6 linked regions of the Cricetulus griseus genome follow. The protein of the gene in region 3 interacts with the protein of the main gene of each other region in a pairwise test. Links are inferred from orthologs where the notes say so. Each region holds a gene or a part of one and is shown on either strand. Other genes may lie near its edges. The genes, in order: Cby2, Nme7, Syce1, Bfsp2, Washc3 and Lmna.

Region 1 (4,169 bases), on a different chromosome or scaffold from region 3:
ACAGAGGAGAGGCTACCTTAAATGCTCTCCCGTGATAATGAGATTGATGACTGACTTATATGCCATCCTATAGCCTTCATCCAGCAGCTGGTGGAAGTAGAAGCAGACACCCACAACTAATCATTGAACTGAACTGGAATCCAGATGCAGAAAAGGACGAGTGAAGAGCAAAGGGGTCCAGACCAGGCTGGAAACCCACAGAAACAACTGATCTGAACATGGGGGAACTCTTGCTCCCCAGACTGATAGCTGGGTTACCAGCATGGGACTGATCCAGACCCCAGGAACATGGGTTTCATTGAGGAAACCCCGGAAACCTACTCTCTTCCTACCCCAAGGGGCAAAATCACACAGAACTGGGGCTCTTAAATGGATCTGGAGGTGACAGATTTGACAGAGCTAAGGATGGAGGGATGAGTGTTCTGGCCTTAATGCAGGTTCTACATGTGATATGTTTGGTTGTATTTTTCTATCAGAACAGTGTTTCTTAAACCCTTGGGATTTCCTGACAGGACCTCCTTTGAAACACATCAGTTTATGCTAGGGGAATGACTTTGGGGGTGGGGGGTGATTGTCAGAGGAACCAATCAGGTGATTAGAAGGTTGGAATTTTCAGCAAACGTCTACCTCTGGAAGGATTTGACATTTAGTTAAGTGATCAAAGGCTAATGATTTGATAAAATTTGCCTACATAATGGAACTCCACAAATACCTCTAAACAACTGGGTTCAGACATTGAAGATGCTGGGAGGCAGGTGTGTCCAGAGAAGGCCAGAAGGTTTACGACACTACCCTGTCAAACAGCTCACCCTTTATCATTACCATTTGGCCCCTCCTGAGCTGCATGCTTCTTAAAGTTGTGATCCTAAGTAAATTACTCTCCTGTGTTCTGAGAGACAGCTATTGAACCTGAGGAGCAGCTTAGGGTAACCCCTGCATGGCTAACCAGTTACAAGTACAGGTGGCCCTGATATGGGATTGGTACTTGAAGTAAAAGATCATCTTTTAGGGCCGAGCCCCTAACTTCTCGGAACCTGACATGTAGCTATTATCAGAGTGGAACTGGACTGGAGTTCCTCAGTAGTGCCAAGTCTCTCCAGGTCTAGACAGTTAATGTTTCTCTTTTCCTAATTAATGTGATTGAAACAGATGCCACCTCTGATGGGAGGTAGAGAGGTTCAAGCCAGCCTGGCAGTGAGGTGTGAGTGGCAGCCAGCTGACCAAACAAGGGCTATTGTGTGTCACACTGACCCGGGCTGGCCACCTGAGCACAGCCAGCAGCAATTCTTCCTTCCTGCAGAAGCCTCGTTCCCACCTGAGATGCCCGGAGAGAAACCATGAGCTCAGAAAAACACCATATTGTTCTGTGATGTCACCTCTGGAATGTTCTGAGTGTTTTGGTGACCAGCTTATGCATAGGACCTATACCTGGCACCTCACATTGGTATGGCTTTTTACTTATATAGAAATCGTAGTGTAAAACCAGGAAGAGCTGCAATGATTTCTTCTTGTAAGAGGGCTTCATATCAGTTCATTCCTGTCTTGGTTTTTTGTTCAGTGATCAGTGTCGATCAGTTCCTGATCACTGAGCAGTAAGACTTCTGGCCAGGCGCCATGTACACATGCCTTGAGACTGTGATTTTTATAAGGTATAAAATTAGTCAGAAGGACATAAATGTGTAGAAAGAGGTTATGTGTTTCAGGTGAGCCACTGAGGCCCTGAGGATGGGTTGAGAAGGAGAAATCTGATTCTTTCTTTTTCACAGCACTCGAGGCCAATTTTTACAAGAAAGAGAGATACCAGATCTGAAAGCCTAGAAATTCCAATCAATGTGGTTCTACCTCAGGTAGGGACAATCATGGAAGAATGTAACTTGCTAGAATAACCCTGTTTCCAAGCCTTACAGAATGAACAGCGAAGTCAGCCACTCAGATTCTTGTCATGTTGGTGTTGTTTTCCTGCCCATTTGTCTTGAGGAGGACACATGGATTCTCTGAACCTTGGGGTCCTCTGGCCTTGAATGAGGAGACTGAGTTGGATGGTCAGGTCCTCCAGCACTAGCCTTTCAAGATTTGTTGATACTATGACAAAAGTCTAACCTTCCCAAAGGAGACCCTTCATTGCATGGTAGTGTATAACCACTCAGGACATCTGTAGAGAACTAGAGTCAACCTTGAATCCAGATGCATAAGAATGAACACAGGAGCTGAAACCCCAGAATGGAGCCCACTTGCAATGGTCAAGAGGATTAAGCCCTGCCATGGGCCAAAGATGGTTTACTGGGGATGAATGTTCACTTGTTTCTTTTGAAGCCAGTGAATGATTAAAACACTTATAGCTTGTGGTCTCCAGATCTCCTGCACACAGCAACTTTCTCAGTGGGACCCCCTTTTACTTGAGTGTTCCTTCTGTTGCTATGTCACAAAGGGGTGGCCTTGCTTTCTCCAGTGTTACCCAAGAGCTCATTGGAAGACCAGGGTCATGCAACCAGTGGAGGAGAAATGTAGGATGGAGGGATCCAAGGCACAGGTAATTTCCCTAAAAGTTTGGTCTCAGGAGGTATGTACAAAGAGGATGGATCTCTGGCTGGTGTTCTCTATTAGTGTAATTATAATGAGCTCAGCAAATATGGTGAGAAGGAGACAGAAACACAGGACAAGAGAACCACCTGGGTATTTTTTTTCCTTACAGCATTGTAGTAAGCAGCCACAGTTACATCTCTTTCAGCTCATGATAGCTAAGCCAGATTATTAGGCAACTATGTCCTGGGCATCCTATAGAAGAACAAGGAACCTTGCTAGGTCTGATCCCTGACACATAAACTACACATCTGTGCATGAGGGTGGCCGTGGTTCCTTTGGTACCTTTATTAGCCCACATGTTAGGGGCAGACAGGAGATACCAGCCCAGATGTGGGAGTGGGAATGGGGCTGGGAATAAGATTTGAAAGTAGGTGTATTACTTGCTGTTCACATTGTTGTGACCAAATACCTGGCAAGAAGCAAGTTAAGGGAGGAAGTCTTTATTTTGGATCTTGGTTGAGGGGTAAATCTGTTGTGAAGTGGAAGCTATGGGGTGGGGCCGCTGCCTCACATCACTGCAGATCCATGTTTTTCTCAGTCCAGGATGCTAGTTCATGAGCACTGTAAGACCCTTGGAAAGCTGAGGCTTCCAGAATCTTAGCCCAGGACCTCGGCCACCCCAATCACAGAATGGAGGCGAAAGCTAGATGCAAATTGCATGAGGCTTTATTGTAGTTTAACGAGCTAACACCATGTTAGCTCGGGTCTTTGACCCACCCACCATGGCAGATGGCTAGCAAAGACAGTTTGAAGCTGCTGCATACAGATCTTTATAGGGCAGCATAAGGGGAGTGTTTAGGGGTATGCACAGGCTCAGGATTGGTGTGCCTCCAGGCTTGGAGGGTTTGCCCTGTGTTGATTGGTCAACTGGCTGTTATGGCCCATAGGCCCTCCCAGGGTGGTTGCTATGCTTTGTGCGTCATTGCTGTGCGCTTGTCCATAAAGCACACCCAGGGTCATAAAGCATAGCGCTATCAGCTAACTTCTGATTGGCTCCTTGTCACGAGGCAGGCATCTGACTTTCTAGTGACTAACTTCTGATTGTTTCCTTGTCACGAGGCAGGCATCTGACTTTCTAGTGACTAAGACAAGGTCATAGAGCACGTGTTTGGTCATTATGGCTGCCAAAAGGGAAGCTGGTCCCTTCAAGCACTAGCCACATTAAGTATGGGCCTCCCCTCTGTTAGTCCTTCCCCATAAAGTCCCCACAGACACATCAAGGATGTGTGCCTTGCTAATGCCCTGGGTGTTTCTTAATCTAGCAAGCTGACACAAAGCCTTCATTACTGCCATGCCATAGAAAGATTAGAAAGATCCATCTACCCCTGGCATGACTTTGTCCCTAGCTCCCAGCGCCAGCTTAGCAGTCAAGGAGAAAAGGTGTTTGAGGAGTCTTGGGTTTGTTCTGGTCCTTTCAGGCCTACTTCCTGTGCTGTGGGACCTGGATCTTGGAAGGCAGAAGAATATGGAAGGAAGAGGTCACTGCTGTCTGGAGATTTTTCATGGCCAGCCAGGCTTAGTCAGCAGTCATCTCTAGGTCACTTAAGTAAGCAGCTGGTGTTGAAAAGCAGGAAGAGGATAATTCT
Region 2 (4,079 bases), on a different chromosome or scaffold from region 3:
GTGAAATGATGACATCAGGATTTTGTCTGGTAGCTCCTGGGTGGTTGACCTCACGTTCAGGTTAATCAAGAGTAGGAAATTCTTTCTTTCCCCTTTACTTCACAAAAAGTTGCTCACAGAGTATCAATATCTCCACTATGCTGGAGGCATTGAACATTTGAAGTAAAATCTTTTTAAGTTCTTTAAAAGCTTGGAACAATCTGGAAAACCTGCTGAGTCTACTTGTCTTTGAAAACCCTAGGCCTAATACTTTCCCTGTTATACTACTCCTCTGGCTTTTTTCTAATCAGAATAGAAACACAACTCCTAACGGACAAAAAGAGGAGTAGCAGTAATATTTCTGAATGAATTCATAAAAGAGGATGGATTTGATTAGGCCATCAATGGTTTAGGCCCCTTTCTAAGTTCTCGCAGAAGACCTTTAATTAGCTACAGAGAGTTACTTATTACCTCAGAAACGCTTACTTAGTCACTAAGAAATGGACAATGTGCAGATCAAAGACAAGGAGCTGGGGTCAAAGTGCAGAGAGCAAAGGCCAATGAGTAGATAGTTTCACCTTCCTCCTCGGGTTTTCAGAGCTAAGTAGATGAGGAGCCTGGACAGCTGTGGCGGTGACTAGCGTGAATGATGCATCAGATGTGTTGGGCTAAGAGACACAAATGCATCCAATCAGAAAGAACACTTTCTCCCTTGCTTGAGACCTGATCAAAGTCAGCCACCTGCACCTGTGCTACTTTTAATACCTCCCCCCTTGTCAGTTCTTTTTGATCATAATAAACTCTGACAATGCTATGGTTCTTCGCTTCCAGGCTTTTCAGAAATGAAATCAGCGGGGGACCTTTTTATTTGCTGGTTTTAAATGATGTTTAACTCTGAGAGGTTAATGTTTCAGTCACACACTTCTTTAGAGGACATATCTGCATGGCACAGTGCTCCTGTTGTAGATCTAGATCTAGATGAGCCAGTCTTCTAACTTGTTTCCAGTTTATGATGGGGTGCCTTCCTGATCTTTAATAACTGTCATTTAGCTACAGAATACTTATCTTAAGCCTATAACAAATATTTTCATGTTCTATAAGAAGGGCAAATTTAAGAGTCAGAAGGCAAACTAGCTTCTCTGGACCCTGTTATCAAAAGGAAGAGCTGCATCTTGATGACAGGCCACAGCTAATGGAGAAATGGTTGCTGGCATTACCCTGGATTTCAAGGACCTTTGTTTACCTTCTAATCTACCATGGTAAAATCTCAGGAAAATGTCATACTCATTTAAATTGAAGTATCAGCATTACTGAAGACATCAAAGTAAAAATAAAGGCAAGTTATGCTAGGGAGATGGCCCAGCAGTCACGAGTGCATACTGCTCTTCCAGGCCACTCAACTTTGATTCCCAGCACCCATGTCAGGTGGCTCACAACTGCCTATGACTCCAGCTTCAGGGGACCCAATACCTCTGACCTCTGTGGGTAACTACACACATGGCTTGCATGCGCTCCCACGCATGTGTGCACACACATTTTTAAATAAATAAAATTTAGAAAAAATAAAGACAAGCATTACTTATTTTGAATGGAACAGCATCTGGATTCTGCTTATAGGACACAGCAAGTAGAGATGTTTGCTTGTCTAGACAGAACTGCTTTCTGGTCCCTTCCTATCAGCTCAGCTACCTTGCACCTCTCAAACCTCAGCTGCTAAAGTAAATGATCCATGAGTTTCACTTGCTGCCAAGTGACAGGCAACAGAGTTTATATGGTAAGAAGAGAGGTTGGGAAAGAAAAAAAAAAGAGGGTCTGGAGAGCTTGCTCAATGACTAAGAGCACTGGCTGCTCTTTCAGAGGACCTGGGACCAATTCCCAGCACCTACATGGCAGCTCACAACCATGTATAACTCCAGTTCCAGGGATCTAGTGCCCTCTTCTGGCCTCTGTAGGGACTAGGCATGAATGTGGTGCACGGATACATATGCAAACAAAACACAAACACACATAAAATAAAATGAAATGAAATACAAAAAAAGGAAGGAAGGAATGGAGGAAGGAAAACCAAAGGAACAAGTATAGGTCTAGTTGGGAGGTGGTGGCACTCACCTTTAATCCCAGCACTCAGGAGGCAGAGGCAGGTGGGTCTCTGTGAGTTCAAGGCCATCCTGGTCTATAAACTGAGTTCCAGGATAGCATCCAGAGCTACAGAGAAACCCTGTCTTGGAAAAAAAAAAAAAAAAAAAAAGAAAACCAAAATAGCTAGGTCTAGCATAGAGACTGGATTTCTTGCAAGGGAACAGGCTTGTGTTTCAAACACCAAATGCAACTCTCTCTCTCTCTCTCTGAAGTTTCTTTTTCTCATTTCTTCTTAAAAGGACAGTGTTTGAACCAGATTTTTGTGTGTTTTCTATGTGGTGAAAGCAGAGTGAGTTGTACCTTATAGTGAAATTACACTTGAAGTCTTACCTCAGCTGGGGTATAATTTGTAAAAAGCAGCTAAAAACCCTGACACCTATCAGGTGTTCCATGAAAGTCACAACCATTCCTCTTTGTCCCTGGGTAGAGGCTGAGGAGGAGGGAACATCTGAGCATGTGCAGATGGCTAGAGGAGACCCACCCCACTCAGGCTGCGGTAGAGGACTCAGAGCAGGTGAATGAACCAGCTGTTCATTTGTTGATGCTCCAGGGTGATAGATGTGGCAAGAGAGGAATAAAAGGGTGAAGAAAACTGAGCACCCAAAGGACACAGAAGCCATAGACCAGGACTCTGCAGAGGCTCTTGGTCCCAAGGCCCACCCCTCTGTGCTGGGTGGATCTTAGCACTGGACAGATGCCTTGGCTACATGTAGAGAGAAGGGAAACAGAAGACAGGCAGGTCTCCAAGACTAGGACATAAACTTGGGGGGCTGGGAAGTGTTCATGGAGTGGGCCCCATCAGCCCTGTCCTTTTAAGCATCTTCTTTTCCATCCACTTTCAGAAGTCTCTCGTCATGACTTAGCTGCTGACTTGGCTTGACACTGAAGCATTAGATGCCTGGAGTCCTACCATAGAGTTCATTCTACCTTCTCTCCAGACACACACACACACACACACACACACACACACACACACACACACACACACGTACGTCGCCTCTTCTGTTGCCCAGGTCTTTCATATTCAGTCTCTCTCTTACCATCTCTATTTTTAATTTTTCATGTATTTTACAATGAGGAAGGGAACTATCTAACAAGATCAATTTTAAATGGCACCTTTTATGAGACGTTATAAACTGGTATATATACACACACCAGATGTGTATATATATATTTCACACACATTATACACACATATATACACACACAGTAGTTATACACACACATACACACACACACACACACACACACACACTGGTAAAGTGTAATATATGTTCCCTTTATTTAGGATATTTAAATTTAAAGAATGGAGCTTTTCTTAAAAATATATTATAGCCATTTTTAATTCTAATACATTTATTTTTCAATGATCAAAGTAGATTTTAAAAAGATTTTGTTTTCATTTTTAAGTGTGTGTGTGTGTGTGTGTGTGTGTGTGTGTGTGTGTGTGTGTGTGTGTGTGCTGGATGTGTGGCTGTGAGTGCAGGTGCCTATGGGGAGCAGAGGTGTCACTGGAGCAGGAGTTACAGACAGTCGTGAGCTGGGACTCAAACTTGGGTCCCCTGCAGGAGCAGCATGGGCTGAACCGTCTCTCCAGTCCCTGATTTAATCTGCTCATATTGGTTTAACACAAACATTTGTGCCTGATTCTGTCCTCTGAAATAAGTATTATGATTATTATCCTAGTCTTATAATGAAGGATCGAGGTACAAGAGTTTAAACAACTTTCTTAAATATCAAGCAAGTTGCAATTCTGGAGTTTAAACCCAGATACAGTCTGAGTCATGATGCACTCTATGTACTTAAAATATTAGCCACAGAGCTATCCCTTAATGTATTGTCATTACTTTTTTGAGTACAGTGTATTGAATATCTAGCCACTGGAGATTGAATAACTAACATAAAATACAAGCCAATGTTCGCACAGAGCAAAGGCTGTGGAAGAATGGTATTCATGTAGA
Region 3 (4,205 bases):
TATTTACTGTACTTTGAAATACACAAACATGTAAGTATTATATTCTCACGTTTCTTCCTTCCTTCCTGTTTTTTTTTTTTTTTTTTTTTTTTTTTTTTTCTGTTCCGAAACAGGGTTTCTTTGTGAAACAGAGCTGTCCTGGGACTTGTGTTGTAGACAAGGCTGCTCTCAAACTCAAAGATCTGCCTGCCTCTGCCTCTGAGTGCTGTGATTAAAGGTGTGCGCCACCACACTCAGCACGTTCTCATATTTCTTAGGAAAAAAATACATGGCTCTCATAAGATAGCAACAGGCATCATATATTGATTGTATATAGTATTATACATGTTATATATTATTATGTATATTATATAAGAGCATTTTAGTCTTGGTTCTCAAAACACAGAGTACATAATTCTTAATATATACTATTTCCCTGTGGCCACCTCATGCTGGGTTATTTATTAACACAGTGTACATAAAAGCACCTCTACGGGCTGGAGAGATGGCTCAGCCATTAAAGGCTAGGCTCACAACCAAAAGCACTTCTACAAGTTATCAGTAACAATCTGAGAACCTGGCATTCATTCTCACTTCTAGAGTGACTGCTGAGTGGGATCCAGGGAGCCTTACTAAATATCTGTTCAGGGGAGGAATTCACCAGATTTCCCCTCATTATGTACTGTGAGAACCCAGTGTGTTCCAGGCTAGGTATTTGATACCTCAGACCGGGACAGGGGCCAGCAAACTACCAGACAAGAACTGTTGGGTTATTCTGGTCTAAGAAGGTCTGTGCCTGGGTCACAGAGACTACCACAGACAAGCAAGGTGAGAGTAGTTTGCCCGGTGGGTGTGGAACACAGCCAGAAGTGTTCACACCTGGGCTGTCCTGGCAGATGGTTTAGGCACGGCACAGAGGGAGACGCCAGGCTTTTTTTGGAGGGGTGGCGAACGGTGTCTTGGGAACTGGGAACTGAGCTGCTTACCGTGTCCACCGTAGGCCCTTGAGGTTCTTTCAGTAGGCATCATGGGTCTGCTCAATACCACTGTTCTGTCCAAGAGTAGGAAATTTCCACGTTCTAACGCTAATCCTAACTCTATCACTAACAACCATAATCTTAAACCTTGTAGAGAGATAGGCCTGCATTCTCGGTCAGGCACTTGCCTCCGAAACTGACCAATCACTGCCTTGGAAGTCTTCACTTCAAATGGGATTAGTGTTTGGTGGTGGTGGTGGTGGAGCAAAACAACAACAACAACAACAACAACAAAAAACCAAAACCAAAACAACAACAAAAAACCTTCTGCGCATGCGCAGCAGCTGGCCGCGTGGTAGGCCAGAGGGACGCGCAGCGTACTGCGCAGGCGCAGTGCGCAACAGCTGCCCGGCTGCTGTGGCCGCTGAGTGAAGTGGAGCAGCGTGGCCACCAGACCGCAGCCGTTGGGCATGGAGCCCAAGGACTCAGCAGACCCGCTCCACAGGCCTGAGGGGGCCGGAGGTAGTGGCTGAAGGGAGCCTGGGTTGTCCTGGCGAGCTGTGGGGTGAGAGGGCCTCCTGTCGAGGCCTGAGGCGATCTGGGCCGGTGGGCGCGAACCCGGCGTGGGCGCGCTGACTGACGAGGCCTGTGACGTTTGAGGGCCTGCTGGCCGCCTCCCTGTGAGGCCAGGCCTAGTGTGGGGTTGTAGCAGGGCACACTCCTCCCGTCACCTTCAGAGCAGGCTTGCACCAGGCCCTGTGGCACCAGGCCTGAAGTCAGGTGGCCCCACGGGAGCCGGGGTCGCCCTTGGCTGTCTAGAACTTGACGCCATCCCAGCGCGCCTAGCGTGTGGGTGGGCGGCTCACCTCTGAACAAAACTACTGTTCTCGAAACCTTTCTGCACAAACGATTTAGTGTCTGTGTACTGGTTCAGTAAAACAGAGAGGCGATGGGCTTAGGCCGTGAGGCTACGCTCCAGCGTGGACGGTTTTGACTCGTTCGTCAATCTTTTCTCCCACCACTCAGGTCCCTGTTTGATGACATAGCACCACAGACAGTAGTGCAACCCCTGAATGTCCCATGTATGTATATAGAGACAGGTACCCGAGGAAAATAACACTATCGCTAGAGCTATATAATAGTGCCAACAATTTCTTTATCTTAGCAAATATCCAGTTGATTTTTTAAAAATTGCTAATTGTTTTAGTTTTTTTTATACAATGCATTTATTTGGATCAAAACCTATTTACAGACCACTTTCTTTCTTTCTTTTTTTTTAGATTAAATAGATGTGTCTCTTAAGACCCTTATCATTCCTGAGGAGTCTTTCTCCCCTACCTCCTTCCCCTTGATGTTAAAAAAAATTCTCTATATAGTTTCCCAGTCTGTATGGTGCCACATGCACGTTTACGGGGGATCTCTAGCCCTTAATTGTTTTTTTTTAGAACTTGAGTTAATAAGTTAATACTTAGTTAATACTTAGTTAATAAATATTAGCATCAGTTTTATAAGAGTTCTTAATAGGGGACATTTTTAAAATTAAGTGACTCATAATGTCTGGTTCCTTTATTATGTTGGTAATGCCACAAACAGTGATTTCTAACATCCAGTTCACCAGATAATTTAAAATAGGTGCATATTGGCTATAAAAATTGCTGGGCAGCAGTGGTGCACACCTTTAATCCCATCACTCAGGAGGCAGAAGCAAGCGGATCTCTGTGAATTCAAGGCCAGCCTGGTCTACAAATGGAGTTCCAGGACAGCCATAAGGGCCACACAGAGAAACCCTGTTTTGAAAAACAAAACAAGACAAACAAAATGAATACAAAATATTACTTTATATGGAAGCTTTATAATCAGTATCAATTATATATTGAGAAGCTATTTGAATGTATGTTTTAACAAGCTCCCTTACTATAATACATTTTGTTTATAGTCAATGTATTTTGGGTAAGACTTTCTTGAACTTCCTAATTGATAATGCTATCAATCCATTACGGTGATTTTTCAACTACTTTCCAGTATTTTAGCAACACCCTCTTCCCCCAGTGGTGACTAAACTCAGGGCTTTGAATATGCAAAGCATGCTCCCTACCACTGAATCCCAGCCTTAGCCATTTGCTTGTTTTAAGAAAGGATCTTTATGTAGCTTAAGGTGGGTTTTACCTTGTGATAAAGGCTAGGGTAGACACAAACTGTTGATCTCCTGCCACTTTCTCTAAGTTCCAAGATTACAGGTATATGCCACCACACCTAGTACCCTAGTCTTTGTGAACTTGACCTAGCTTTGATAACAATCAGCAGCACAAGTGAACCAAATATAGCACTGCCCTAACCTTGAGTTTTGTGTTTCTAATTGCACCATGTAGGAAAAGGCTGTCCATGGAGGGGCCCAACTCACTTTTTTGTATTATCTATTTTGGGACAACCATCAGTAACTCTGTTCTGGTTAGAGATCTGTCCTCAGCTCGTCTCAGTATCAGTTTAGGTACTGGATCCATCTGGCAATTTATCCTGTTGAATTTGAAAGTTTGGTTTTGTCTCCACAGGGCAGAATGTGACCACACAGAAAATTGAAGGCTTAATGGAAATGGTGAAGAAGTTGAAGAAAGGTCCAGTGTCTTTTTTGCTAATGGGCTTACCCTGAGGTTTGAAGTCAGGCAGATGTAGATTCAACTCCAAGCACCACAATTCACAAAAATAAGACATTATTTTATTCACATTAACTTTCTTTAAAACGTAAATTTGGGTGTGTGTGTAGAGAGAGAGGTCATCAGTTAAGAGCACTAACTGCTTTTGCAGAGGAGTGGGTTTGTTTCCTAGCACTCATAAGGTGTCTCACAATTATTAGTAAGTTCAGTTCTAGGAGGTCTGACGTCCTCTTCTGGTCTCTGCAGGCACCAGGCACACATGTGATGGGCTTACATGTATGCAAGCAAAGCACTCATGCATAAAATACAAGTAGATGCTTTTGTACTTAAATTTTAATTTTAAGAAACATTTAATGTGTGTGTGTGTGTGTGTGTGTGTGTGTGTGTGTGTGTGTGTGTGTGTGTGTGAGCACACAGTGGTTCATGCTCACATACGCATACCATTTCAAAGAATGTGTAAGTCAGAGGTTAGCTTAAGGGAGTCAGTTTTTTCCTTCTACCATGTGAGTTTGAGGGGTCAAACTCAGGTTGTCAGGTTTGGTGGCAAGTACCTTTATCCACGGCACCATCTCACTGGCCCCTTAAATTTTAACTTTTG
Region 4 (4,216 bases), on a different chromosome or scaffold from region 3:
CTGCCTTCTAAAGTTGGATTGAAAAGTCAGTGAGGTAAAGAGTGGAACTGTGCTCAGAATTTGAGTATACTCAGTACCTACCAGAAGGTGACTCCCGTTCCCGTCTCTTGACTCAGGTCCATCCTCACATTATAGGGTCAAGGAGTATGTCCATCTCTAGACCTGGGATGCTTAGTTCCAATACACTACAACCTGAGCACATTCCCAGGCTGGAGGGACCATTCTAAGCCCCCAAGAAGTGACTGGGATGTGACCGTTGAAAGTGTGACTTGGAGTATGCCAAAAGCAACGATTAAAACCTGAGGTGCCCAGCAACCCTAACTTGTAGCACCCATGAGTGCTTTCCAGAAATTGTTTTGTTGTTTTCAACTTCCTAGTCTTATTAGAGGAAGACACAGAGGTGGAAAAGAGCAGAGCCTAACAAACAGCTTCCCAGAAGTTCAGGTCCTAAACTGGCTCCAGAGCATCTGATGTGTCAGAATTAGCAATCAGGCAGATGTACGGCAAGGTCTAGAGGAGGAGAAACATGGCCAGGGCCAGCAGCTGACAAGCATTGTGTCAGAGGGCAGACATGAGGGGGGGAGAGAGAAGCTGGAAGGGGCCTGGAACGGCTGCCAGACCTGAGGGCAGCAGGTTGCTTTGTTTCCCTTGGGTCTCCTGGGCTGCACCTTTGTCCATGGCTGGCTCACATCCACATCCATCCTCTGATCCTATGTGGATGTACAACATGAACACGCATGTGCACACCCCTACCTCAGCACGTCAAGGGGTGTGGAAAGTCCTGCAATCGGTCCTGAGGCCACTACAATGAGTCCCAGCTTGTGCTGTGAGATATAAAGTGATCAGTACACTTGTCACCCAAGGTCCTCAAGCCTGTTTCCTTACCGGTGAAACAGAACCACTTATTGCCTGCCCGACTCTCTCTATGGCAGTAACATACACAAACCCACGGGCTGGGGATATAGAGGTCGCAGAGTATTCACCTAGTATGCATGAGACCCTGGATTCTATTGCAGGGATTAGAGGCAAAAGATCAGAAGTTCAAGCTCATCCTGGCTACATAGAGATTTTAAGGCCAGACTCAGACACCCTGTCTAAAAAGAAATAAGACAAATCTAGAGGATCCGTTCCCACAACCTGCACTGCTCCAGCACCCTCACCCCAGCAGAAAAGTCTGGATTGGTTGGGCACATGACCCAGCATCAGAGAACGCCTGTGTGCCTCTCACAGGCTGGCGGGGTGGTTCTCTTCTGGCTCAATGAACAACAGAAGCTCATGGAAGGCAGTAGACAAAGAACACGGGGACAGAGGAGCTTCCAGAGAGGCCCGTGACCAGGCCATGGGGATGCTGGGACTAGCAACCAAAAGCCACTGAACTCTGTAAACCTGCCAGGCACCACAGAGGCAGAGAGAATGATGAGTGAGAGGAGAGTGGCAGCGGACTTGCCCCCTGGAGCCAACTCCAGCATGCCCCTGCAGAGGCACAGGGTGTCCCTCAGGGGGACACGGTCTCCATCCTCCCTTGAGAGCCCCCCAGCATCCAGGACCAGTGCACTGGGTAGCCTCATCCGTGCACCTGGGGTCTATGTAGGAGTAGCACCCAGTGGGTGCATAGGTGGCCTCAGTGCCCGAGTGACCCGTCGGGCTCTGGGCATCAGCAGTGTCTTCCTGCAAGGTCTACGGAGTTCAGGCCTTACCACTGTCCCTGCTCCAGGCCCAGAAAGGGATCACACTGCTGTTGAAGACCTGGGGAGCTGCCTAGTGGAATATATGACCAAAGTGCATGCTCTTGAACAAGTCAGCCAGGAGCTGGAAACACAGCTGCGGGCTCACCTGGAGAGCAAGGCCAAACGCTCTGGAGGCTGGGATGCCCTCCGGGCCTCCTGGGCCAGCAGCTACCAGCAGGTAAGTCCTCCAGCTGTTCATCTAAAGGCTTGCTAGTGTCCTGAGAGGGGGTGTTGGAGGCTACAGCAACAGTGGTGAGTAGTCTGAGGCCGGGAGAGCTCACCCCTTTCGTACCAAAACTGCTGGTGGTCTAATGGTAACATTGGCTGCCATTCACTGGGGCTGACTAGGGGCCAGGACCCCTCTAGGTGCACATGCACCACCCCCAAAACATTCCAGTAGTGCTCTGTGACCAAACTAGCACGGCATACACCTTTCAAATAAGAAAACCTGTGTAACACGGTCCAAGTCCACAAGCTAATAGAGTAGCAGTTCTCAACCTGCAGGTGGTAACCCCTTTGGGGGTTTCTTTGCAGATATCCTGCATATCAGGTATTTACATTACAACTCATATCAGTGGCCAAATTACAGTTATGAAGTAGCAATGAAATAATTTTATGGCTGGGGGCCACCACAACATGAGGAACTGTATTAAAGGGTCACAGCATTAGAAGGTTGAGAACCACTGTAACAGAGAGGGGCAGTCACTATCTAACCTGGATTTTCCTTCCTCCAAAGTTGCATTGGTCCTATTATCTGGGACTGCCTCTGTCACAGTTACTTAAAAGGTTTTCAGGCCACCATAGAACCAAATACCACTGAATGGATGTGTTTTTTTAAATGATGACTAAGTGAAGGTGTGCTCCTGTACCCACATACATGGTATCAGTGTGAATATGGACCATACTGGTAATTTTCAATTTCCTATTACATGCGTGCCTGTGCGCGCGCGTGTGTGTGTGTGTGTGTGTGTGTGTGTGTGTGTGTGTGTGTATGTATGTGTAAACACAAATGAAGTTGGCATTAATATTATCTTATTTAAATCAAGATAGCAAAAATTATTTCAACATGAAATCAATATAAAAGTGCCAGCCCAACAGTGGAGATTTAAATAGAACTTTCTGGATGGTGGATGGAAACATTTTACAGTATTGGCCACCTATTGTGTGACTCCTCTTGCACAGACATGAGCCAGTACTTTCACCCCAGACAGGGCACCATCAACAGATCAAAGATTCTACCAAAGTCTAGCTTGGGGACCAATGAGTTTATTGGGGTTAATTACAGGAGAATAACAGAATCAAAGGAAGAATCAAGGCACATGGGGGATGCTCATGAAAGCTGCACCCCTGGAGCAGCTCCCTGCCCAATTTGCAGGCAGCCCTATGCAAGTCTCCCTTCCCCAACAAGGGTTTATCACATATATAATTGGGGGTGGTGAATCTTACAACTTCCTAAGCTCTGTAAGTTTCCTGGACCTTAGGAACCATCTCCTCCCAGAGGGACTACAATTCAGAAAATAGCTATGCAACACCCTCTGTGGCAACCGAGTCCTTGGGCTATGGCTATGAGACTGAGAACTTGATATTTTTTGTGTTACTTGGATTTTATTCCTTCTGATCACTGTGTACAGTAGACAGTCATCTTTCTGGGCAGGGATGCAGAGGGCTCCTTTTCCTCACCTGGTCAGGGCTGTGTCGTGTTCTCTGAGACAATTTCTGCAGTGCTCCAAGCTCATCCATCAATTCTGCCTGTAAGCTGTGGTCCTCGGGGCTAGAATCCTATTGGCATTGCTTATCTCAGCTGGTCACTCCGTGGGTAGCCGACTTCTCTCTCCCCTTTCTCCCCAAATGCTGGCCTTGGGATCCCTGCACACTAAACCAGTCTCTTATCCCAGCCAGAAGCAGCCAAATCCTGGTCCCATTTGCTCCCTGGAGTCAGGCATGCAGCCTGAGAGGTTACAAACTGTACTGTTGGCTGATGCCTGGGGCATACACAGAATCCCCATTTCATCTCACTGTTCTCAGCACCCTCACCCTCCCCTAGAGAAGGAGGGTGCAATACCATCTTTCTGGCTGGTGCAGCTGTTCTCAAACATCCAGGGAGGGCCTCACAACCTGTCCAAGAGGTAGCCACCCCTCAGGGAATCCACAAAACTATCTGAGTCTTAAATATTGTATGACATATTAACCCCTAGAACATCCCAGATATTCCAACCTCAGCAGCATCTACTGGACGGTATGATACCCACGTGCCAGGAAGGAACCAACATCTCAGTATCGTGGTTAGAAAGTTCAGCCATGAAATTGGCATGATAGCTTTCATAGTGCCAGACGGTGCTATGCAGACAGAAGAGAAAAAAGTTGTTCTTTTTACAAAAGAAGTTTTACAAAAACTTCTATAGGGGCGCTGGTGGTGCACGCCTTTAATCTCAGCACTCTGGAGGGAGGCCAGCCTGGTCTCCAGAGCGAGTGCCAGGATAGGCTCCAAA
Region 5 (4,295 bases), on a different chromosome or scaffold from region 3:
ACTGCCCCTGATTGTCACTAATATGAATAAAATACTGTCATACAGCATCACGTGCAGATCAAATCTTTCATGAGAATAGTAGTTAATCAATTCCTCATATTAATTGCTGGCTTACTTCAAGAAATTCAATAAATGGGGCATGGAGCTAAACTAAATAATTCACAAAAGATGAAATACAAATGGCTGACAAACATTTTTAAATGTTCACCATCCTTAGCCACCATGGAAATGCAAATTATTGTGCTGAAGACCACAATTCACAATAATTCCAGGGAGTGGTGTTGAAAATGCAGGAATCAAAATTATACCTAAAAGGGATCCTGATTTGGTTTGTCTGAGGTTAATCTCTGGAGCAGGCCTTTTTGTTTTTTTTTTGTTTTTGTTTTTGTTTTTGTTTTTGTTTTATTAGTTCTAGTTAGGGAAGAAGCTTATTTCAAGTCCCTTCTCCCTCTCCCTCCCCCACCCCCAAACCTCCTCCCCCAGCCCACCCCCCACCCCCATCCACCCACCACTCCCCAGGCAGGGTAGGGCCCTCAACGGGGGCTCTGCAAAGTCCACCAAGTCTTCCTATGGAGCAGGCCTTTTAAGAAGCATTCCCAACCAGCGGCCCATGAATCCCATTTAGAAAAACATGGCTCTTATTCTGGTATAAAAGGTCCTTCATCAGCTCTTTGTGTCTATTTCCGTCTTATTTCTCATTATTCCCTATCTCTGCTAATACCACCAAACAGCTTTCCCTTTGCCCTCCATACTATACTCCTCATTCCAGATTGTCGTGTTTTGTTGCTGTTGGTGTTTTGTTTGTTTTTTGAGATAAGGGTTTCTCTGTAGCTTTGGAGCCTGTCCTGGAACTTGCGCTGTAGACCAGGCTGGCTTCGAACTCACAGAGCCTCCCGAGTGCTGGAACTAAAGGCGTGCACCACCAGTGCCTGGCTCCAGATTGTCATTTGGGGGTGGGGATGGGGGTGAATTTCAAAACAGGGTTTCTCTGTAGCTTTGGAGGCTGTCTTGGAGCTCAGTCAGTAGACCAGGCTGGCCTCAAACTCACAGAGCTCCACCTGCTTCTGCCTCCAGAGTGTTGGTATTAAAGGCATGCGCCACCACAGCCCGGTCAGATTGTCATCTTAGCTCTTCTTAAAGTTAAGTAGCTACTAAAGCTGGTTTCCTCTTCTTTGCTTGGACAACTTAGAAGCGCCTATCGTCTACAGCACCACAGTGCTTTGAGTCCATGTGGGTGCATGTACCCATGGAGACACAAGGGTTTGTATATGTTAATTTACAGTGCCACAACTTTCACCTAAATTTTGCACATCAAGATTCTGCATGTCTTCACTATTCTTTGGAGGCAGAGGTCCCCCCCACCCCTAAAATAGCATCAGCTCTTCAGCAGTGATTCTCAGGCCCGCTTTACAATCAGCTCCTTGAACTACCAATCCCAGAATGCTGAGCGAGAGTGAAGGGGCGGACTCTCTGAAGCCACTGATTGATTGGTGGGCTCGGGATCTTTCTTCCGGAAAGGCCCCGGAGGCAGGAACTTGGGAAGGGGAGTCGGGGTTTTCTACCGGGCTGTGAGGGGCTTGTGCCTGAGCCCCGGTGTCCCCATCTGCTGTGGAGATGGATGAGGATGGGCTTCCTCTTATGGGGTCAGGCATAGACCTGACCAAGGTTTGTAAAAGATGACTTAAGCTTCCGGCGAACAGGGAAGTAGCTTGGCCAAGGGGCCCCGGTTCCCCGGGAGACACCACCTCTCCAGGCCCAACCCGGGCCCCTTTTTGCTAGCCTAGGGAAGGGGGAGCCCCGCAGTCCACTTTCGAAGGGTTCCCTCCTGAGCTAATTAAAGAGTTGATGTGCCTCGCAGCCTTCGCTCCCCACATCATGTGACTCTGAGCCAAGGCTGACAGTCTGGAAATAGTGCCACTTCTAACACTACCTCTCTGATCCTCAATCTCTCTCTCTCTCTCTCTCTCTCTCTCTCTCTCTCTCTCTCTCTCTCTCTGCCCTCCTCCCTCCTCCCTCCCTCTCTCCCTCCTCTCTCTCTCTCTCTCTCTCTCTCTCTCTCTCTCTCTCTCTCTCTCTCTCTCTCCCTCCCTCCGTCTCCCCCTCCTCCTCTCCCTCTCTGTCTCTCTCCTCTCTCCCTCTCTCCTCTCTCCTCCTCCCTTGCTCCCTCCCTTGTGTGTGTGTGTGTGTGTGTGTGTGTGTGTGTGTGTGTGTGTGTGTGTGTGTAGCACACTCTCAAACTTTTGCAGCCCCTGTCACTTTGACACACACACGGTTCAGGAAAACAAGTCAGGGACTGTTCTCAGCCCTCCATGAAATTCATGTCACAGGGCAAAATCATAGTCTTTACGAAACAGATATCGAGAGGATTGCACAGTGTATGTCTCTCCTGTAAGAATCATATTTGCTTGTTTTTATGTAACACAGGTGCCAGCTATTCAACAGAAAAGGACCGTGGCCTTTCTAAACCAGTTTGTGGTGCACACGGTGCAGTTTCTCAACCGGTTTTCCACAGTTTGTGAGGAGGTAGGTCCAGGTCCTGTGCTACTACTAGTTTATGGAGTAGTTGAGAAGTCATCTTCCACCTTTCAGGTTAACAGAGCGAAGCAAAAATTACAGCTTTCATTTATTCACATTGCCAAGACCTTCTCCAATTGTGTTAAGACACCTTGGCGTCTCTTCTATTCTGTTACCATCAGTCCTGTATCCCTCAACTGAATTCATATTCTAGGCGTTTCTGTGAGCTCAATAAAGTTTTTTATAATTATGAGAAACACACACAAATAATTTCACAGTTGAATTTTTTATTTTAAAGTTTTTCATTTTCCTACTCCAGAGTTTTATATTTTAAGTATATGTTTGTGTTTATATTAAATTACTTTGCATTCTTTGAGCCAAAGTGGTTCAGGGAGGAAGCCTAGAAATACATTTTTTTAAAAAAAAAATACCCTTCTGCAAATGTCTGGATAACCTGTGCAGTAAAAATTAAACACATAATTAAGAATTAGGTGCCAGGTTCAGGACCCCCGCCTGATCTTTGAGAAAGGTTTTTATTTGGTTTGGTTTGGGTTTTTTTTTTTTTTTTTTTTTTTTTTTTTTTTTGGATGAGGAGGAAAATGGAGAATATATATTGAAACTGAATTTAAGAAAGGAAATAGAAGAGATTTCTAGATTAGTCCCAGCTGAATCAATGCAATGTTATCTTATATTGTCTTATACAAGGCAAACCCTTAACAAAGTTAGATATGTAACTGTTAATCAGGATTGCTTGCAGATAGGAGACTTGTCATTTGTGTAAAATTCGAGCTGTTTATAAAGTTGTGGATTCTGAGTAAGGTCTTGAATGGGGTAGGCATGCACTCTGCCTCTGAGTAACATTGATAGTCCCAACTGTTGTTTTTATTTCTTCATCACAATGTCTTTAGCGTTTCCTCCAAATGTAATCACTAATGATATAGTGAGGAGTCTCTCTCTCTCTCTCTCTCTCTCTCTCTCTCTCTCTCTCTCTCTCTCATTTGTTTTGGTCTTTTCAGAAATTTAAGATTTACTTTTATTTTATGTGTGTGAGGGTCTCACATGTTTGTCTGTCCACTACATGCATGTCTGATGCCTACATGGGTCAGAAGAGGGCATGAGATCCCCTAGAACTGTTGCTATGGACAGTTATGAGCCACCATGTGGATGCTGGCCGTCAATTCTGGTTCCTTTGCAAGTATGAGTGTTCTCAGCTGCCAAGCCATGTTTTCAATCTGGTCTCTCTTATACCGTTGCTTCTCTAAATAGAAGCACTGGTAGAACAACTAACCACTAAACTGAACTGGAATCCAGACGCAGAGAAGGACAAGTGAAGAGCAAAGGGGTCCAGACCAGGATGGTGAAACTCACAGAAACAGCTGACCTGAACATCAGGGAACTCTTGGTCCCCAGACTGATAGCTAGGATACCAGCATGGGACTGCTCCAGACCCCAGGAACATGGGTTTCAGTGAAGAAACCTCGGAAATCTACGGGACCTGCTGTAGTAGTTCAGTACTTATCGCTAGCATAGGTGTGGACTTTGGGAGCCCATTCCACATAGAGGAATACTCCCTGAGCCAAGACACACAGGGGTGGGTTTAGGCCCTATCCCAAAGGGTATGATAGACTCTGACGACACCCTATGGAAGGCATCACCATCCAGGGGGAGCAAAAAAGATATGTGATAGGTAGAGTTTTAGTTGGGGGGGGTAGAAGGGGAGAATGAGAGGGAGAAGGGAACTGGGATTGCCATGTAAAACAATCTTGTTTCTAATTCAAATA
Region 6 (4,176 bases), on a different chromosome or scaffold from region 3:
CTTTCTTTTCTTTCTTTTTTGTTTTTTTGAGACAGGGTTTCTCTGTGTAGCTTTGGAGTCTGTCCTGGCACTCACTCTATAAACCAGGCTGGCCTCGAACTCACAAGAGATCCACCTGCCTCTGCCTCCCGAGTGCTGGGATTAAAGGCGTGAGCCACCAATGCCCAGCCTTGTCTTTCTTTTCTTCACATTTAAAAAAGACTTATTAATTTTATGTGTATGAGTGGCTTGTCTGCACTTTGGTGCCTGATACTTGTGGATGTCAGAAGAGGGCAACAGATTCCCTAGAACTAGAGTTATGGATGGCTATGAGCTATCTTAGGGTGCTGGGAATCAATCCCAGGATGTCTCCAAGAGCAGCCAGTGCTCTTAACTGCTGAGCCATCTCTCCAGTCACTCCCCAACACACATACCTTAAAAACAAAAAACATAAAATAGGATCTCACTAGTGTAATCCAGGCTGACTTCATCTGGACTTGTGGCTGAGCACCTTCTCCTGGTTTTCCTTCCTCTGCCTCCCACCTGCTGGGATGCGCTGTCATGCTCTGGTTGTCTGTCTTTCCTTCTTTCCTTCCTTCCTTTCTTTTTTTTTGAGACAGGTTCTCACTGTGGAGCTTAGGTTGGCCTAGAATTTATAGAGATCCACCTGCCTCTGTCTGGAGAGTGCTGGTATTAGAGGACATGCCCCCACCATGACCAGCCAGGCTGTATTTATTTTATTTTATTTTTTTGTTTTCCCTGTGTAGCTCTGGCTGTCCTGAAACTCACTCTGTAAACCAAGGTGGCCTTGAACTCAAGAGTCCACCTGTCTCTGCCTCCTGAGTTCTGGGATTAAAGGTGCCAATCATGCCCTGTCAGGTTGTATTTCTTAAAGAGGGCCTCTCCTACAAAACTCTGTGCTTTAGATAAATTGACCAGCCATCCCAAGATTAGCACTGAACATTCTTTTTCCTAGGAAGTCCCCCAGTCCTGAGAAGAACAAAACAATTGTCCACCCTAGTTCCATGCCTCACAAACATTTTGGTCACCTAGACAAGGATCACCCCCCCCCCCACGCCACCTCACTTCCTGGAAATGTTGGGGGTTGCGGTGAACCGACCCTTTTCTCCTGCTGGCAGCCTGCAGTTGTGGCGCTTCTGTTTGTTTCCTTGGCAACAGGGAAAGGAAACCCCCATTTAGGAGGCCGGGGAGGCCCCAGCAACCACACACACAGATACACACAGGCTCACATGCGGCCGCCCACACGCAGTAGCGTGCGTCACCCGCCTTCTGCACTGCAGCCGCCGGCTGTGCAGGGAGCGGCCCGCCAAGGAGCAGCCGGGATGCCCGCCCCGACACAGTCGCCGGAGGACGGGCAGCCATGGGCCCCGCCCCCGGCCTGCCCTTTCCGTTCAGATTCCCCGCACCCCCACCCCATCCCCCAGCTGGTGCTGCGGAGGCTGGGAATAGAGTGGAAAGCAGGCGCTGAGGAAGGCCTTCAGCCCCCAGCATGATCTTTGTTTGGTCTAGTCTGGTGTGTATTGTATGGAGGGGTGAGTGTTGTGACAGTCCTCAGAGCTCGAGGCACCCAGGTGGAGGGAGGGAGAGGTGGTTTGGAACGCAGAGATGGAGCGCCTCCTAGGTAGGAGCTAGCTCCTGGGCACACTACAGTTTGCTGTTGGGTTGGGTTCCCGCCTAGTGTTTAGGAGTTTCTTATGTCACCTGTCAGCTATGTGGCCTTGAGCAAATCAGTTAACCAGGTCAAGCCTCCCATTCTTTTATCTGTAAGATGGGGATAATGGTACTTGCTTGTGCTCCTCAGATTTTTGATTGTGAAAGGGTTGCCAATCAAGAGACCTACCAGGTGTGAGGTATGAGTGGCCCCTCTCTTCCAGCTGCACCTACCCTCCTGGCTGGAGCAGTGAGATCAGCTGCTCCAATTTCATAGGAAGGGCAGTGCCAGCCGGCTGGTGGGCTCTCTCTGCTGAGGTCGTGTAGTATAGGAGCAGAGCCTGTCTCCGGGGAATCTGGAGAGTGTAGCCCACCCAGGTCATGTCTTTTGATCCTTAGTCCTCAGAGGCAAACTTTTGTTGTTGTTTGTGTGGTTTTTTGTTTGTTTGTTTGTTTTTGAGACTGGGTTTCTTAATGTAGCTCTAGCTGTCCTGGAACTCACAACGATCTGCCTGCCTCTGCCTCCCAAGTGCTGGGAGTAAAGGCATGTGCCACTACTGCACAGCATATGTGTGTGTGTGTATGTGTGTGTGTGTTTGAGACAGGGTTTCTCTGTGTAGCCTTAGCTGTCCTGGAACTTGTCCTATAGACCAGACTGGCCTCAAACTCAGAGATCCCTTGTCTCTACTTCCAAGATTAAAGGTGTGTGACACCACCAACCTTGCTTTTTGCTTTTTAAAATTTTATTATTATTATTTTTTAAGGTAGAGTCTCACGCAGGAAGGTAGTGCAGACCAACTTCTGTGAGTTCAAGGCCAGCGTGTATTCTGTATTCAAGGAGTGAGTTCCAGGGCAGCCAGGGCCATACAGAGAAACCCTGTCTCAGAAAAAAAAGAAAAGAAAAGAAAGGAAGAATGATTGTTTTTCTTTTTTCTTTTTTTTCTTTCTTTCGTTTTTTTTTTTTTTTTTGGTTTTTTTCAAGACAGGGTTTCTCTGTGTAGCTTTGGAGCCTATCCTGGCACTCACTCTGGAGACCAGGCTGGCCTCGAACTCACAAAGATCCGCCTGCCTCTGCCTCCCGAGTGCTGGGATTAAAGGCGTGCACCACCAACGCCCGGCTTGATTGTCTCATTTAAGTCTCATGTAGTTTATGCTGGCTGTAAACTTGCTTGCTATGTAGCCGAAGACAACTTTGAACTGCTAGCCCTTTGCTTTCTCTGCCCAAATAACAGAATTACCACCATCCCAGGCTGCAGGAACCCATTTATGAAGATAAGGTTAGGGTTTGGGGACCTCTTAAGGGAGTATAAGGGACTATCAGAAAGGGATTCTAAATGGCCAACTAGTGAAGTTTCTGTTTTTTTAGTTTTGGGTTTTTTTTTTTTTTTTGCGTGGGGGGGGGTGTAGACAGGGTTTCTCTGTGACTTTGGAGGCTGTCCTGGAACTAGCTCTTGTAGACCAGGCTGGTCTCGAACTCACAGAGATCTGCCTGCCTCTGCCTCCCTAGTGCTGGGATTAAAGGCTTACACCACCACTGCCCAGCTCATTGGAGTTTTGATGAGACTTCATTTAAATAAGAGGTCTGCAGGCTTTACAAATAGTTGTCAACCACTTCTCTTAAGGACCATCCTTGCCCCACCCACCCCCGCCCCAATCAGCTCCTGAGTCCCCTTGGGAACATACTCTGCTTTTTCCTGCCAATTTCTCAACCTTTCAAGAGTTTGCGGCTTCTGGCATACCAAGTATAGATAATAACGTCATAAGGTCAAAGTGAAGATTAAACAGGTTACCTCCACATGGCCCTTAGCTGGGCCCCTGTTGCATGCAACCACTTAAAGAATGGGTGAGGTCTCCCATTGTAGAGGTGATAACTATCACCTGTACACACATGATTCATCAGTTCAGCAGTGTTTGGTCATATATACCCTGTAATCAAAGGAAGAATAAGTCAAGGACAGCCCTCAGGAACTCCCTCTGAAGGGATTCCCAAGCCACATCTTAGGTTTTTAAATCACCATCACCTCTTTCTTTCACAGTCAGCCATTCCTACCCCGTGAGGGGCAACACTGTCTCTGCAGTGGTCTGTGGTTCCACCTGACTCCAATCCCTCTCATGCCTCCTACCAGAATCAAAGCCTAATGTTAAGATCTCAGTCTTTGGAGCTAGACTAACCTATATTAAAAGTCCAGTTTTGCTACTAGCCATATGACATTAGACAAGTGATTCTTAGATGGGGGTGATTTGGTCCTCCCCCGGGGATATTTGGCAATGTCTGAAGATGTTTTCTGATTGTCCTAACTGGAGACAGAAATACTATTGGCATTCAGTAAGTAATATTGTGAGACGCTGCAAACACCTTACTCTGCATGGTCTCTCCTTGGATAGAGAAGCGTCTGGCTGGAGATAGCTGTGGTGCCAGGGTTGGGAAGCCCTGTGTTACACAGATCACTTAGATCTCTGGGCTTCACTTTTCTCATCTTCAAAGCAAAACTAATAATGTATTTACTTTGCTGAGCTATGCTAGAC

Evidence for each region.
Region 1: the proteins of Syce1 (region 3) and Cby2 interact in binary tests that used the Homo sapiens proteins (3 or more experiments, as listed by UniProt). The two-hybrid records come from large-scale screens. The link is inferred for Cricetulus griseus from reciprocal best matches to the Homo sapiens genes SYCE1 and CBY2.
Region 2: the proteins of Syce1 (region 3) and Nme7 interact in binary tests that used the Homo sapiens proteins (3 or more experiments, as listed by UniProt). The two-hybrid records come from large-scale screens. The link is inferred for Cricetulus griseus from reciprocal best matches to the Homo sapiens genes SYCE1 and NME7.
Region 4: the proteins of Syce1 (region 3) and Bfsp2 interact in binary tests that used the Homo sapiens proteins (3 or more experiments, as listed by UniProt). The two-hybrid records come from large-scale screens. The link is inferred for Cricetulus griseus from reciprocal best matches to the Homo sapiens genes SYCE1 and BFSP2.
Region 5: the proteins of Syce1 (region 3) and Washc3 interact in binary tests that used the Homo sapiens proteins (3 or more experiments, as listed by UniProt). The two-hybrid records come from large-scale screens. The link is inferred for Cricetulus griseus from reciprocal best matches to the Homo sapiens genes SYCE1 and WASHC3.
Region 6: the proteins of Syce1 (region 3) and Lmna interact in binary tests that used the Homo sapiens proteins (3 or more experiments, as listed by UniProt). The link is inferred for Cricetulus griseus from reciprocal best matches to the Homo sapiens genes SYCE1 and LMNA.

Annotation. Positions count from the first base shown.
Region 1 is NW_023276807.1:229,960,913-229,965,081, reverse strand, and holds the start of Cby2 (protein chibby homolog 2), read left to right. Parts: upstream 1-1,369; coding exon 1,370-1,444; intron 1,445-1,766; coding exon 1,767-1,847; intron 1,848-2,482; coding exon of another isoform or gene 2,483-2,530; intron 2,531-4,169.
Region 2 is NC_048598.1:27,937,095-27,941,173, forward strand, and holds the end of Nme7 (nucleoside diphosphate kinase 7), read right to left. Parts: intron 648-4,079; coding exon 516-647; 3' UTR 501-515; downstream 1-500. UniProt on the Homo sapiens protein: Possesses an intrinsic kinase activity. Displays 3'-5' exonuclease activity with a preference for single-stranded DNA. Does not seem to have nucleoside diphosphate kinase activity.
Region 3 is NC_048596.1:60,417,889-60,422,093, forward strand, and holds the start of Syce1 (synaptonemal complex central element protein 1), read left to right. Parts: upstream 1-1,405; 5' UTR 1,406-1,426; coding exon 1,427-1,478; intron 1,479-3,505; coding exon 3,506-3,568; intron 3,569-4,205. UniProt on the Homo sapiens protein: Major component of the transverse central element of synaptonemal complexes (SCS), formed between homologous chromosomes during meiotic prophase. Requires SYCP1 in order to be incorporated into the central element.
Region 4 is NC_048597.1:211,725,067-211,729,282, reverse strand, and holds the start of Bfsp2 (phakinin), read left to right. Parts: upstream 1-1,416; coding exon 1,417-1,905; intron 1,906-4,216.
Region 5 is NW_023276806.1:154,206,829-154,211,123, forward strand, and holds the start of Washc3 (WASH complex subunit 3), read left to right. Parts: upstream 1-1,495; 5' UTR 1,496-1,614; coding exon 1,615-1,665; intron 1,666-2,424; coding exon 2,425-2,523; intron 2,524-4,295. UniProt on the Homo sapiens protein: Acts as a component of the WASH core complex that functions as a nucleation-promoting factor (NPF) at the surface of endosomes, where it recruits and activates the Arp2/3 complex to induce actin polymerization, playing a key role in the fission of tubules that serve as transport intermediates during endosome sorting.
Region 6 is NW_023276806.1:66,000,379-66,004,554, forward strand, and holds the start of Lmna (lamin), read left to right. Parts: upstream 1-1,376; 5' UTR 1,377-1,489; coding exon 1,490-1,513; intron 1,514-4,176.